Neodiprion lecontei: one gene and its partner. The protein of the gene in region 1 purifies or fractionates together with the protein of each later gene. This does not show direct contact. Links are inferred from orthologs where the notes say so. Each region holds a gene or a part of one and is shown on either strand. Other genes may lie near its edges.

The links.
Region 2: the proteins of OTU domain-containing protein 5-A (region 1) and ruvB-like 2 purify together in Homo sapiens (affinity purification with mass spectrometry, with the first as the bait; 3 studies listed by BioGRID). This does not show direct contact. The link is inferred for Neodiprion lecontei from reciprocal best matches to the Homo sapiens genes OTUD5 and RUVBL2.

Annotation. Positions count from the first base shown.
Region 1 is NC_060264.1:33,609,413-33,616,158, reverse strand, and holds OTU domain-containing protein 5-A, read right to left. Parts: upstream 4,937-6,746; 5' UTR 4,790-4,936; intron 4,640-4,789; 5' UTR 4,446-4,639; coding exon 4,305-4,445; intron 3,670-4,304; coding exon 3,578-3,669; intron 3,482-3,577; coding exon 3,363-3,481; intron 3,179-3,362; coding exon 3,030-3,178; intron 2,960-3,029; coding exon 2,804-2,959; intron 2,715-2,803; coding exon 2,558-2,714; intron 2,422-2,557; coding exon 2,210-2,421; intron 2,123-2,209; coding exon 2,003-2,122; intron 1,758-2,002; coding exon 1,602-1,757; intron 1,475-1,601; coding exon 1,282-1,474; intron 1,191-1,281; coding exon 1,045-1,190; 3' UTR 565-1,044; downstream 1-564. UniProt on the Homo sapiens protein: Deubiquitinating enzyme that functions as a negative regulator of the innate immune system. Has peptidase activity towards 'Lys-48'- and 'Lys-63'-linked polyubiquitin chains. Can also cleave 'Lys-11'-linked ubiquitin chains (in vitro).
Region 2 is NC_060263.1:34,675,077-34,680,490, reverse strand, and holds ruvB-like 2, read right to left. Parts: upstream 3,426-5,414; 5' UTR 3,294-3,425; coding exon 3,288-3,293; intron 2,854-3,287; coding exon 2,740-2,853; intron 2,624-2,739; coding exon 2,189-2,623; intron 2,124-2,188; coding exon 1,691-2,123; intron 1,651-1,690; exon of another isoform or gene 1,583-1,650; coding exon 1,314-1,582; intron 1,252-1,313; coding exon 1,146-1,251; intron 824-1,145; coding exon 798-823; 3' UTR 536-797; downstream 1-535. Other genes in the region: protein penguin, read left to right, coding at 3,883-5,414. UniProt on the Homo sapiens protein: Possesses single-stranded DNA-stimulated ATPase and ATP-dependent DNA helicase (5' to 3') activity; hexamerization is thought to be critical for ATP hydrolysis and adjacent subunits in the ring-like structure contribute to the ATPase activity.

The DNA of each region.
Region 1 (6,746 bases):
AAGTTATTTACCCTTCATCGATTATCGTTATTCGACTTCGCACGTATATGGGAAAAAAATATGGAGCGACAAAAGGAAAAAAAGAGGTACTGATCGATTCACATTACAGTGATCGGTAATCCAATAATAATAATACGTAGGTACAGTGGAACTTTGTTGTGGGAGAGGGAACTCGTCGCTGCGCGAGACACAGCCGTATTCTCTCTACCAAACGAGGTTATATTTGTGCTCGGAGTAAAATAAATAGTAGTAGTTGAGCCATCCTAAGGACAAGTTGTCGGGTGACGTACCTACAACGAAATTCCGCCGTACGTTGAAAAGGTGTAAGCGTGCAAACACATTGTTGTTCAATGCTGTATGTGAAACATTAATGTAGAAATAAAGTGTCTATAATGTAGCGTATATTGAAGCGTAAACAACTGTGTACTCGTAGGTCCGTATAATTTATTCAATTATACGCTCTAGTACAGTTCGTCAATTGCGTGTCTAATATTTTAGTAGGTAATCATGCGTGGGGAATTAACAATAATTTCGGAACAGTTTTACAAAAAATTCTTTGTTAAATTTACAGTGTTGGAAAATGTTTTTTCTCAAGTGATTTATTTTTTTTGTTACAAATGATGCAACCAAATCTCTCATTCAAAGCATTTCGCTAATAATTATATTATATAACGAAAAAAAAGATGAAATAAACTATTACGAATATTTAAAGAAATAAATAGCGAAGTTCTATCCAGCCTGTGATTTAGGCTATGTGCCTTGTTTTATACTATAATAATATAATCTAAAGGCAAACAATTAAGATGTGACGAGAGAGTGCATTCACACGGCACAACGTGTCGAAACCGGAATGCCTGTAAAATCATATTTTTTATCCCGGAGGTGTATAAAACAGGTGGTCGTAGTAATTGGCATCACGCAGGAAACTAACGCGACTCTTTTTTTCTTTCGCTCTCTCTCTCTCCCTCGCTCTCTTCAACTTTCTTGATGTGCCTGATTATCATTCATATTCAATTTGAAAAACAGCCGATTTTTTTAGTCAAATTAACTCTTGTTCGAGTCAGCTACGACGTTCCCATCACTACCCGAACCCGACTGTACCCGCGACTGCTTTAAGCTGTCCAGATATTCTTGCTGCGAAGTCGCAAGGACTTTGGATAGGATATCACTGTCTTCCCAGTCGGTCAAACCTGTGGAAAATCAATCGGTACAGTCTCGTGCTCTGTTCATCCGGTCTTTTAACTTCTATAAACTCGGTTACGAACACTAGAATTTTCTCACCAAAAACTTCAGGAGGGAGACGATTAAACAGCGATATGTCAGGCGATGTGTGAGACTCCTTGCTGCTCCCTGGGACGGGTTCTTGAGATGGTGGTGCGACGCTAAAATCGGACGACAGGTGAGGCATACCTGGTCCCTGGGTGGATTGATGCTGCGGAGAACGCTTGCTGCTGTACCTTATCGAGTCACCAACCTGAGGGGAAAAGTTTTGTAAGAAATCTTTCATATTTCATTCCTGCAGAGCAAAGATGGCTAATTATCTCGTTTTCTGGGTTAGTAAAGACTTGCTCTCCTGCTAAAAGTTAGTCACACTAGCTCACCTTGGGGGAATTTCGGACAGAATCCTGATTAGCTTGCGTCGTTGTTGGGGAGGATGTTAGCCCACGCGTTTGTCCACGACCACCATGAGGGTGGAAGTGGTTGTGGCTATGCTGGGCACTGGTGACTGTGCTGGTGCTGCTGCTGCTAGCTGACCGCTTAAACAAAAAGTCAAGCTACTAAGCTGAGAGTAACTGATGACAGTGTGAGCTGTGTCAGGTAAGCGGAGAGCACTCGAGTATAAAAACAATAAACAAAAGAAACAAACGGATAGATGCATGTGAAATATTTGTTACTGCGTTGCTTGATGGTAAGTAAATTAAATTGATTCGACATTCGGTAGAGGTAGATCACCGTTAATCAATGAGATGCAATGATGGTTACCTGACGGCATTATACTTACAGCTTTACGCATTTCATTGTCACGTAACCACTGCAAGTAACTCTCTCTCGCGACTTGTTCTTCGATTGCTTCATTGGTAGCCTCCCAATCGGTGGCTTTTATCTTGTCTTCAAGCATGGTCTGTGTCACCGAGAAATAAGGATGGATTAGTCATACTTTCCCGAAATAATGATCGATAAATAAAATAACGAACGTAGAATTTCTAACCTGTTCAATATGCAGTTCTTCGCTCTGTCGAACCGCATCAGAAACGAGAGCACGATCCGCCGCTCCGGGATTGTACGAGGGCAAACCTAGTCCGACGCCGATTGTTGCTTTATAGGGGTTTACGATGCTGTTGTAGTGACTGCCGCGTTGATACGACAACCGAATCGGTTCGTTGTCGCTTTTGTGTACCCCGTGAAAAATGTTGATCGGTTCTTTTGTGTTTCATTGAAGCGAAAGGAAAAACGTCTTTGTCAATTATATTCAACAGTATTTTCATGTGATTTTGTATAGTATGGAAGACATATCTTCTACCAAATAGCCTTTTGTCAACATCATCGAATCGCTTACCTGTTCCGTAGCAAAATAGCTCAACGCTACGATTGTACATCTCTGACATTGCCTGCATCTCTATATGATTACCGTGGACGTATTCTTGTCGTTTTCTGTCCACGTAAGTAGAGAAATCCTCGGCAACAAAGTGGGAAAAAAATTCCTGATTGGCAGCCTGAAATAAAATGGTCCTTCACTATAGTAAACATTATTGATATCGAGTTCTTTGTATGACAAAGCTCGAAATCATTGTGAATTACTCACAATATAATCCATGCAATGCTTTCGTACGACACTGTGCATCTCTTGATCACCGTAAACCTGGTCGGCGACAGCTCTAAAAAGACATGCTCCGTCTTCACCCATTTTTTTAACCACGAACCCCATCTTCCGCATCCGTTTTTCAAACCATCGGTCACGCTGAAAATTCATTGTAAATAGAAGTAGCAAGTAATTATTTTTTACTCTTTTAATGGCAGCTAACACTAACCTCTTGCCATTCCGCAATGGTCAAATTGTTTCCAGTGCGACCTGTGTACTCATCCCCACTGTTATAGCCATTTGCTAATTCTGGCTCAAGGCTCGGAGCACCAGCTACTATTGCCATACGGTTGTTTCCAATAACATTAGCATCTGTACCTAAAAAAATGGCAAATATTAGAGTGTTAGAATTTGAAGAATAATTAGTGGCAAGGTGATTCCTTCTTTATTTCTAGGATTACGGATGTATGCAAATGATAAATTCAGGTATATGAATAATACCGTTGTAACAAAAAAATCACAATTGAACAATTTCATTACAAGTTCATTGAGCAATTCTCACCTTGCAGCCCACTGCATGATGCCGTTGGTGGAGTCGCTTGCCTTTCCCGCTCTCTTTCTCTCTCTCGACCCCTGTCTCGTTCTCTTTCACGTTTAGACCGGGACGTTCTGCCAATGCAGCTGTTGTAGTATGACCAAGCAATTATAAAGATGATTTGGAAGGTGAGAAACAATCGAGCTAGTTTATCTTTATAACAAGGTGAGAAAATTAGATACCTGTGAGGACTCGCACGTTGGCGATGACGTTTCCCATGGCTTGATCCACTAGCCTCCTCAAAGTGCTTTTCTTCCCGGCGATCAACACTAGTCTGTAATAAGAGATCGGTGATACGAACAACTTTGATTAGCAAAATCGTAAATGTGAAATTCAGTGAATTGAAAAATTAAAGATTAACAAGTATCGTTAGTTGAAATAGATAGGAAATGTTAGCAACAGACTGTAGAAAGCAGAGCTTAGATTTCATCGCAGTGTTTCAGCCAACGATAAAGAGGATTCCTTCTCCTAGGCAAGCATGTTTGCTGATGATCTATCAATCGGTACAAACCAGTTTACCAGTAAAACAATTATCTGAACTCTAGATACATAGGATAGATAATAGATAAACCATTCATCCAAATGGTAAATATAGATGTCGTGAGGAACAAAAGAAGTGTTGTTCAGAGGTCGCTTATTGGCAAATCATTACAATATTGTGAAAATGAATACTTCAGGAATTACACAATCCGCAATTAACAAATAATGTAGATGTCAAATCTATATGCAAAAATTTCCTTCGACACTGATTAGCATTTATTTCTAATTTCAGACCAATTGTCACACGTAATGGATTACCATGAGTGACCACTGCTGGACGTGAAATTTTTCTATTCCTTCTCTCTCAACCTTCGAACGTGGTTGGGAACGAATGCGATGTTTCTAACCATAAATTGTCTCTCTAATTACCTGATAAGAACTGTTGGACTGCAAGGCGATCGGACCAGCTCCATGCTCGACTTGAACCCCGTGTACATCAACCTCGGCTCCGTTGCCAGGCTCGCGTCTGTCCTTCGTACCGTTGGGTTTCTTTTTCGCCAAAATCGTCATGATGGACGGCCGCGAAAGCGACGGGCGAACAAAACGGGAGAAATACTTCGCGTGCGATAAGCAGAGTAACTCAACTCGGTCCGCAGTTTCACCGCCTCGTCGAATTTCCAAATGCCAGTTTATTGCTGGGGCGAAAAGATGCGAAGGTCATACCTAACGACCGAATCGCGAAACGAAATCACGACTGCACAGTACTAGGAACGAACATCAATTACTTTTTATTGAAATATATGAATACATAGATATAATACGCAGCACTAGCAGGGCGACGACGATTTTATCCTCGATTCGGGGAATCGCGTTATATAATTAAGGGAAATTAATCGTTTATTAACAGTCTGTACCGAGGTGATTTGTCGTCAGCACTTCATTCCACTTCCAAACTCTGACTGTTCTAACCCCGTTATTTGTTGACTGTGATATTAATACGCACTGTTGTTACAAATGCTTTGTGTGGCCGCCATATTTGCACTATCAGCAGCAGCGGCACAAGGACCATGGATTACGGAAATGGCAGACACTGGTTCCAGTCAAAAGATGATGACGCTGCCTGCCCGCTTCAGGCATCAGCCAATAGATGGCGTCTGTAGTCTCATTCGATACAACATCAGGAGACTGTTTTATCGGTAAAAGAAACAATATTTGTACGTATCAAGAACTTGGACTTTATAGAATTGCCGGGAGCAAAAATCTGATACGAGCATTTCCTTGCACCGATGTTGAAATTTATTAATTTGCTACAAAATTATCCTTACGCTTGCAAGCGAACACGCCATGCCGATCAAAAGTTTAGTAAATCAGCGACTTGTTAATTCGTTGAGGCGGTTGAGGCGAGATGTGCTTTAACCTCTATGCATCGTCCAGCTCCAGCAGTTGTGGGTGAGAATCTCAACAATAGGTTTCACTTCTCATCATCGGACTTGAATTCAGATTCTGCCTGAATGTTCTAAAAGAGTTACCTAACTGCACGATCGAATCAAGAAGAATAATGGGAGGCTGGAACAATGATTTCTGATTAAGCAAAAAAGGAAACGAGGGGTCTTCGTACTCGAGGCTAATTATAAAGCATCGGACAGTTAGCGACAAGTTATCAGTCTCGTCCGTCTTCTGTCTGTAACAAGCTTTCCCGATATTCATTGTTCGCCGTTCATTGAAGAGTTCCTGATGGTTGGCGGCAAAAGAAATGAGCTGCAAAAGGCGGGTAAGAACCGCAGGGTGGGAGCAGAAGACGGGTTGAAGAAACGATCCCAAGGAGCGTGAATGGATGAATTGGCCGGAGTTTTCTTACATCTCATTAATATTTAATAGCGCCGAGCTAATCCGTGGGTGGCACAAGAAACGGAACGTTCGGGGAAATGTAATGACTGGCCAAAATTGAATGAAACCTCGCTCAAGGCACCTTTGTCGTGATTCGAAGATAACGCCGCGGCACCCTCTCCGCCCTAGACGACCCAGCTACTTCGCCCCCGTGGGGCCTAGAGTGGGTGCAGGGTCCTCCGGCTCCTCCAATGCCGACAACGTCAACGGCTCCCTCTGGTTTTTGGAGTTCTTGGCGAGGGGATGTTTTTCCTCCCCTGAACACCCCCACTCAGATGCACTACGATCCCCACCACTTGACCTGACGCTACCTCCACCACGGCCTGGGGTCGGCGGAAGGGAGGCGAAGGCGCGGTGCTGCGGAGAAGGGAGTCTGTTTTTTCCACCCACGTAATCAATAGCAAGCCTACAGCTTCTACTGAATGGACTTTGCCATCCCTGTACCCTCGACGCCTACCCAACCCCCTGTATTGATTACTACGACGTAGGGGGGCTCTATCGACCCACCCAGCTGTATTACACTTCATTCATAAATTTTCGGTTTTCATTCGCAATCGGAGCGAATCTACATTGTTACTCGGTACTTGACATTTATAGTACTTTGTCAAACATTCGCAAATGCTTGGCCTATATCTCGAAACTTTTCCTGATACTATCAAGAATTTTTACTCCGAACATTTTATGCTGTTTTGACAAAGTTCATCCGTCCACTGTATCGATAAAATTTTACGCGATGCCGATCGTTTGGAACGACGAAACGTGTCACTGATCCTACTCCAGTTCTATTCTGACTGTACTGTGGCATTGTTGGCGCGTGATTGATATGGTGAGAGTTTTCTATAATAATTTGCGAATTTCAGTGCAAACTGCAGTTCATCTACTATTGCCCTCTTTTTCAAAAGGCAGGCTACAGAGCTGCACTCAACTTTGAGTGCTTCAGTGCTTCCGTCGAGTAAGTTTTTTAAAAAAGTACATCGTTCGATT
Region 2 (5,414 bases), on another chromosome or scaffold:
TAAGTAATCCCAGTTCTAAAAAAGTATTGTCCAAACGGAAATAGAATAAATGAAAAACGATCGATTCAGTACTGCAAACCAAAGCTTGAAAAGTTTTACTAGCGTTGGATCAATAATATGATAATAAAATTGTTTTTTTTCATTTGTTTTTGGTGCAATTATGCCTGAATTGACTTCGAGGTTGGGTCTAATCATAGAGGAATAGAAGCTTTACACCAAAAACTAATTTTTCTGTACAAACATTGGTTTTTTCAAATCAATAACAATTTTATCCGCATAAGTTTTGCAATGAACAAATTAGGTAATAATATTCTGTTGCGCATTTCAAAGATCTATTGGCTACTCTAAACCCATTTCATTTTTGTAACTGATAAGACTATGTACGTACCTAATAGATTACGAATATAGAAAAGTAGAACAAAATCTCGAATATTTGCACAGCCCAATGTTGGTACAGACACTATAACCAGTGCTTTATATTAAAATAATGATAATAATATATACGTATAATCTACGATTATTTAAAAATGCAAGATTATATTTTTTATATTTTTTATTATTTCATAATAAACCGTCGTGTAATTATTTATATACTTGTATGCTCGTACGTGATGATAGCAAAGTTTCGCACGCCATATAAAGGTAAATAACACAAAACCAGCGCGGCGAAACGGCGAATTGTACTGGAATTACAATACCTGTGTTGGTAGATCTATATTTTTTTGTTCAACTCCGAACGTGCGACTTTGTCAACTCCATCAAACTTTAGAAAGAAACTCGATGAATCCAGTCAGTTATTACGCAACTTCCATAGCTTGTTCTTCTGCGCAAGTAGAAAAAGTCATTTCATAACGGCACATACAATATAAACACGGAAATGATCAAATTGGTTCTCATTTCATATTTCAATTTTCTTTCAGTTTGCAAGCATAGGTATGTGGAAGCTCAATCTGATAATAAGTATTTTGTGTGTGTGTGTGTGTGTGTGCGCGCGCGCGCGTGTGTGTGTGTGTGTGTGTGTGTGTGTGTGTGTGTGTGTCTAAGGACAATAAGTAGTTGTTTACACTCAGAATCAAATATTTCGTGTCTGAATCCATTAATGAATTATTCGAAAAGTAGGTACATCTAATGGTAAGAAAACTTACCCAATTCATTGAACATGAATTCATCTTGGTATTCTTTCAAGAACTGTGAAGATCTATTCTCGTCAAGAAATAGGGAATACACACGTTTCACATCATCAATATTGACCTGCAACGAACATCAAGTATGTACAAATTGACAAGACGACACTTATAATTTTATTCGCATACCTCAGTGCTTTTGCGCTTTCGACTAACAAGCGACGCAGTGGTGATCAACTGAATAGCGTATCTAAGCGACGTCTCTAAGGCTATTCTCGTCAATACTGTCAAAGCATCGTCCGCCATCTCACAATCCTCCTCCTCGCATCTAATTTTGAGAATTTCTTTAAGATCTTTTTCTTGATATGGACTTGTGGGCACGATGATCATTCGATCCAACAGATCAATCGGTATACCGTGAGGGCTTTTGTAAGTCGTACCTCTAATCCTTGTGATTCCTGTCGATTATTAAATGCCGTTAATGGAATCACTGGTGGAGTGGAATTATCGATTACATTTTCTTTGGGTAAGAATAAACTGAATCTTAAATAAATATAAAACTCTACCTCTATTAGTGGCCATTATAACGACAGGTGCCATTTCATTCTCAAGGGCTCTATTGAGGAATGAAAAGCACTCGATATCCAGCATGTGTACTTCATCAATGAAGAGAACACCAGGTACGATTTCAGCTTTTCCTTCTTCTCGCCATTCTGCAACCTTAGCATTTATCTGATCCCGTACTTCAGACTTTATTTCCCCCGTATCTCCGGAAAACAGTGCCAAAAATCCGTGAGTTCTGCTGTTAATAACGTCAACTTCGTGCAAAGTAACCGTATGTACCACTTCCTTTCGTTTTTGGAGCTCTCCTTCTGGGCATTGAACAAAACGGGTTTGTGATCCCGTCGCATCGTAGTCCCGAGCTCGTGTGAACGAACGGCCAAGTCTGTTAATTTTTCCAGTGGCTTTATCAATCGTTATAACATCTCCAGCTTGTACCTTTAATGGAAACATTTTTCATTTAAATTTTGTCGATAATTTATAACTGTTTTCACTTTACTTACCTTTTCCTTCATCAGGCTATCAATCATTTTATTGCCCAGATCGTAAATGGTTTCCATCTCGGTTGTTTTCAATGTCAACTTTCCTACTTTAGCGCCAACACCGGTAGCTGGTCTGTCAACTTGAATCTCTACTACCTCCCCTTCGATAATTTCCGTTTCCTCTTTGATTCTCACTCCAATTGATTTTCGTATCGCCTGAGTTAAAGCTTCAGTTTTACCCATTTCTAAGGAATAAATCTCCGAGCCTGCCATTGACGTGAACGGAGTATCTAGACCAAGAGCTTGGGCCATTCCCATCGCAATTGCAGTTTTACCAGTGCCCGGTTGTCCAGCCAACAAAATTGCTCGTCCTGCGATCTTTCCATCCTTGATCATTTCGAGCACAACACCTGCTGCTCTCCGAGCCATGAGCTGGCCCACCATACCTTGAGAAACCTGCGAGTAATTCATCTTTGTTGTAACGAAATTTGTACATGATATTTGCTGAATTCCGAGTTATTGATACAAGGCTGGGATACATTGCAAATATAATATATTATTGTGAATCTTACATTGCGCGGCTCTAAACTGTCATCCAGTCCCAAACCTCGAATGTGAGAATGAGCGCCAATGCGCTCGATTCTAGTGATCTCACGAACTTCTTGCACCTTTGCTGCAGCGACGGCCTGGAATAAAGTTTTTTTTGTTACTGAATTTGGTTCTTGGATACCTTTAATGTTGTCTAATCTAAGTATAAAAAAATAACAACCAACGGATTGTCAGTGGTAAATGTGATCAAATGAATAGTTAGTGTGATCTTCAATTTTTAAAACATGCCGCAGTAAACGATTGCAATAAAATTTAGCATTGAATCACATTGAAATGACGGAAGACTGTGTTGATCGTCGCAAATTTGTAGGTTACCGTTCACGCGTGCCAAACGCCGCATGTCGACACGGTTATGTTTTGAAGAAGAAGGTTTTTTGAAAAGACGAATTTACAGAGTAAGCTTCAATCAATAAGCTAGTAGGAAAATATCAAATTTATCAATCTTTTCGCCGAATTCTATGCGAAAAATAATAATTTAAATGCATAATATCTACGACGCATTTCCACTTACCGCCATGATTTACAACTCTGTTGACTGATCGTAAAGTTGCCAAGGAAACAGTTTTCTGCATGCGCCACGCATCGCTGTAGGGTACATTTTTACGGGTAGCGAAACCTTGCGGTAGTATTTAGCGTCATTTTATTGCCGCAGCGCCACGCTGCGACAGAAAGTAACTAACCGTGAAATGTGTCTGCAGCTCAACGCAACTGCTACCTCGTGAATCCTATTACCAGAATTCAGAAAGCCAAGCAAAGCCAAGTGCACGCCACGTGATCGTACATTGGCGCAATAATTTACACCTTAGCTTAGTGATTCTATGGTGCGGTTTATTAATTTATAAATATCCGATAATTCACTGACTTTAGTATAATTACTACTGATTTGCTTACGCTGTTCGAAATTCAGTCTGAGAAGTAAGTATTTCCAAAATTTAAACTCAATTTTCATAAATCGGTGTCGTCTTTAATAGGTTATGTTTTGCACGCACGTTGTTCGAAATGTTTGAAATACTTGCAGAAGCATCAGAAAGGTAGAAACAATACGTTACGCTAGATAAATTTTACGTACAATTTTTCTTTTCAAGTTACAGGTAAAAATCGTCATCATGAAACGCCGGGAAAAGGAAGCAGTGAGCCTTAAACCGATAATTAAAAAAGCTAAAACGGCTGTCGACCCTACTGCCAAAGTGAATATCATAAAAAGTTCAGATGCGAAGCTAAAGAAGGTGAACATCTCACAAAAAAATGACGCTTTGGAGAAAAAAGGTAAATTCCAAAAACCAACTGCTGCAAAGAAACCTGCCAAGGCAGACAAGTCACAGAAATTGTTTGACAAGATTAATAATAAGAAGAAAAGACTACAAACTCAGGTTCAATACAAATCTATAAATGGTAGCACAGACACAACTGAGAAACCAGATTGGTTAGAGTTTAAAAAACAGAAGAAAGAACTGCGGGAAAAACGAAGGGAAAAAAGACTGACGAATGCGTATGATGTTACCGTCAAAGCTAAGAAGATTGGTGAAAAATTACGCAGAGCAGATTGTTCTAAAGAAGAGCGTGTAGAGCTCACAACGCAGCTATACGAATTACTCAAGGGACAATTTAGTAAACTTGTCTTCATGCATGACATGGCAAGGATTGTTCAATGGCTTCTCAAGTACTGCACTTCTGAGATAAGAAAAAATGTTACTGATGAATTACAGAAAAGTATTGTTCTAATGTTACAGTCGAAGTATGCCAAGAATTGTGTCAAAACATTGTTGAAGCATGGGACAGATGAAATTCGAGCTATGATAATTGCGGCGTGTAGTGGCAATATAGTTAGGCTAGCAAGCCATTCAGTATCTGCACCAGTACTTGAACTTGCATATTCATCTTGGGCGACCGATGCAGATAAATTATATTTTAAACAAGAATTTTATGGTGATATGTACAAACTAGCCAAGGACAGTCAAATCAAAACACTTGCTGATGTCTATAAGCTTGCAGGAGATATGAAATCTGCAACTCTCTCAGCTGTCAAAGGAAATTTGATAAAAATACTAAATAAGAAGCTGATTAACACCTCCCTTGTACATTCTGTGTTGCTTGAATTCTTAAGGAATTGCACCAAAGATGATAGAGATGAAATGATCACTATGGTCCGAAGTTTGATTGCAGAATTATCTCAGACAAAGGATGGTGCTAAGTCTGCAATGATTTGTTTGTGGCATGGTACAAAGAAAGACAGAAAACTTGCGATGAAGGCATTGAAAGATCAAGTCAAGAATGTGGCGACAAACGAGCATGGTCATATGGTGTTATTAGCTTTGTTTGACTGCATTGACGACACAGTTCTCGTGAAGAAAATGATATTGACAGAATTGCTGAATGATCTGACAGAAATTGCGTCAAATGAATATGGCAGATGCGTAATTCTATATCTTGTTGCTAGAAGGGATTCACATTATTTTCACCCGAAAGTAATCGAACAACTTAAAAAAGGTGATGCCAATGAAACTAGTAAAAAGCCACCAGAAATACGAGCAAAAGAGCTATTGGACGCAGTAATTGATAAGTTGTTAGAAACTGTTACTACAGAAGTATCGACATGGCTATCAAATAGTTCAATATCAATGGTTACGTTGGCAATATT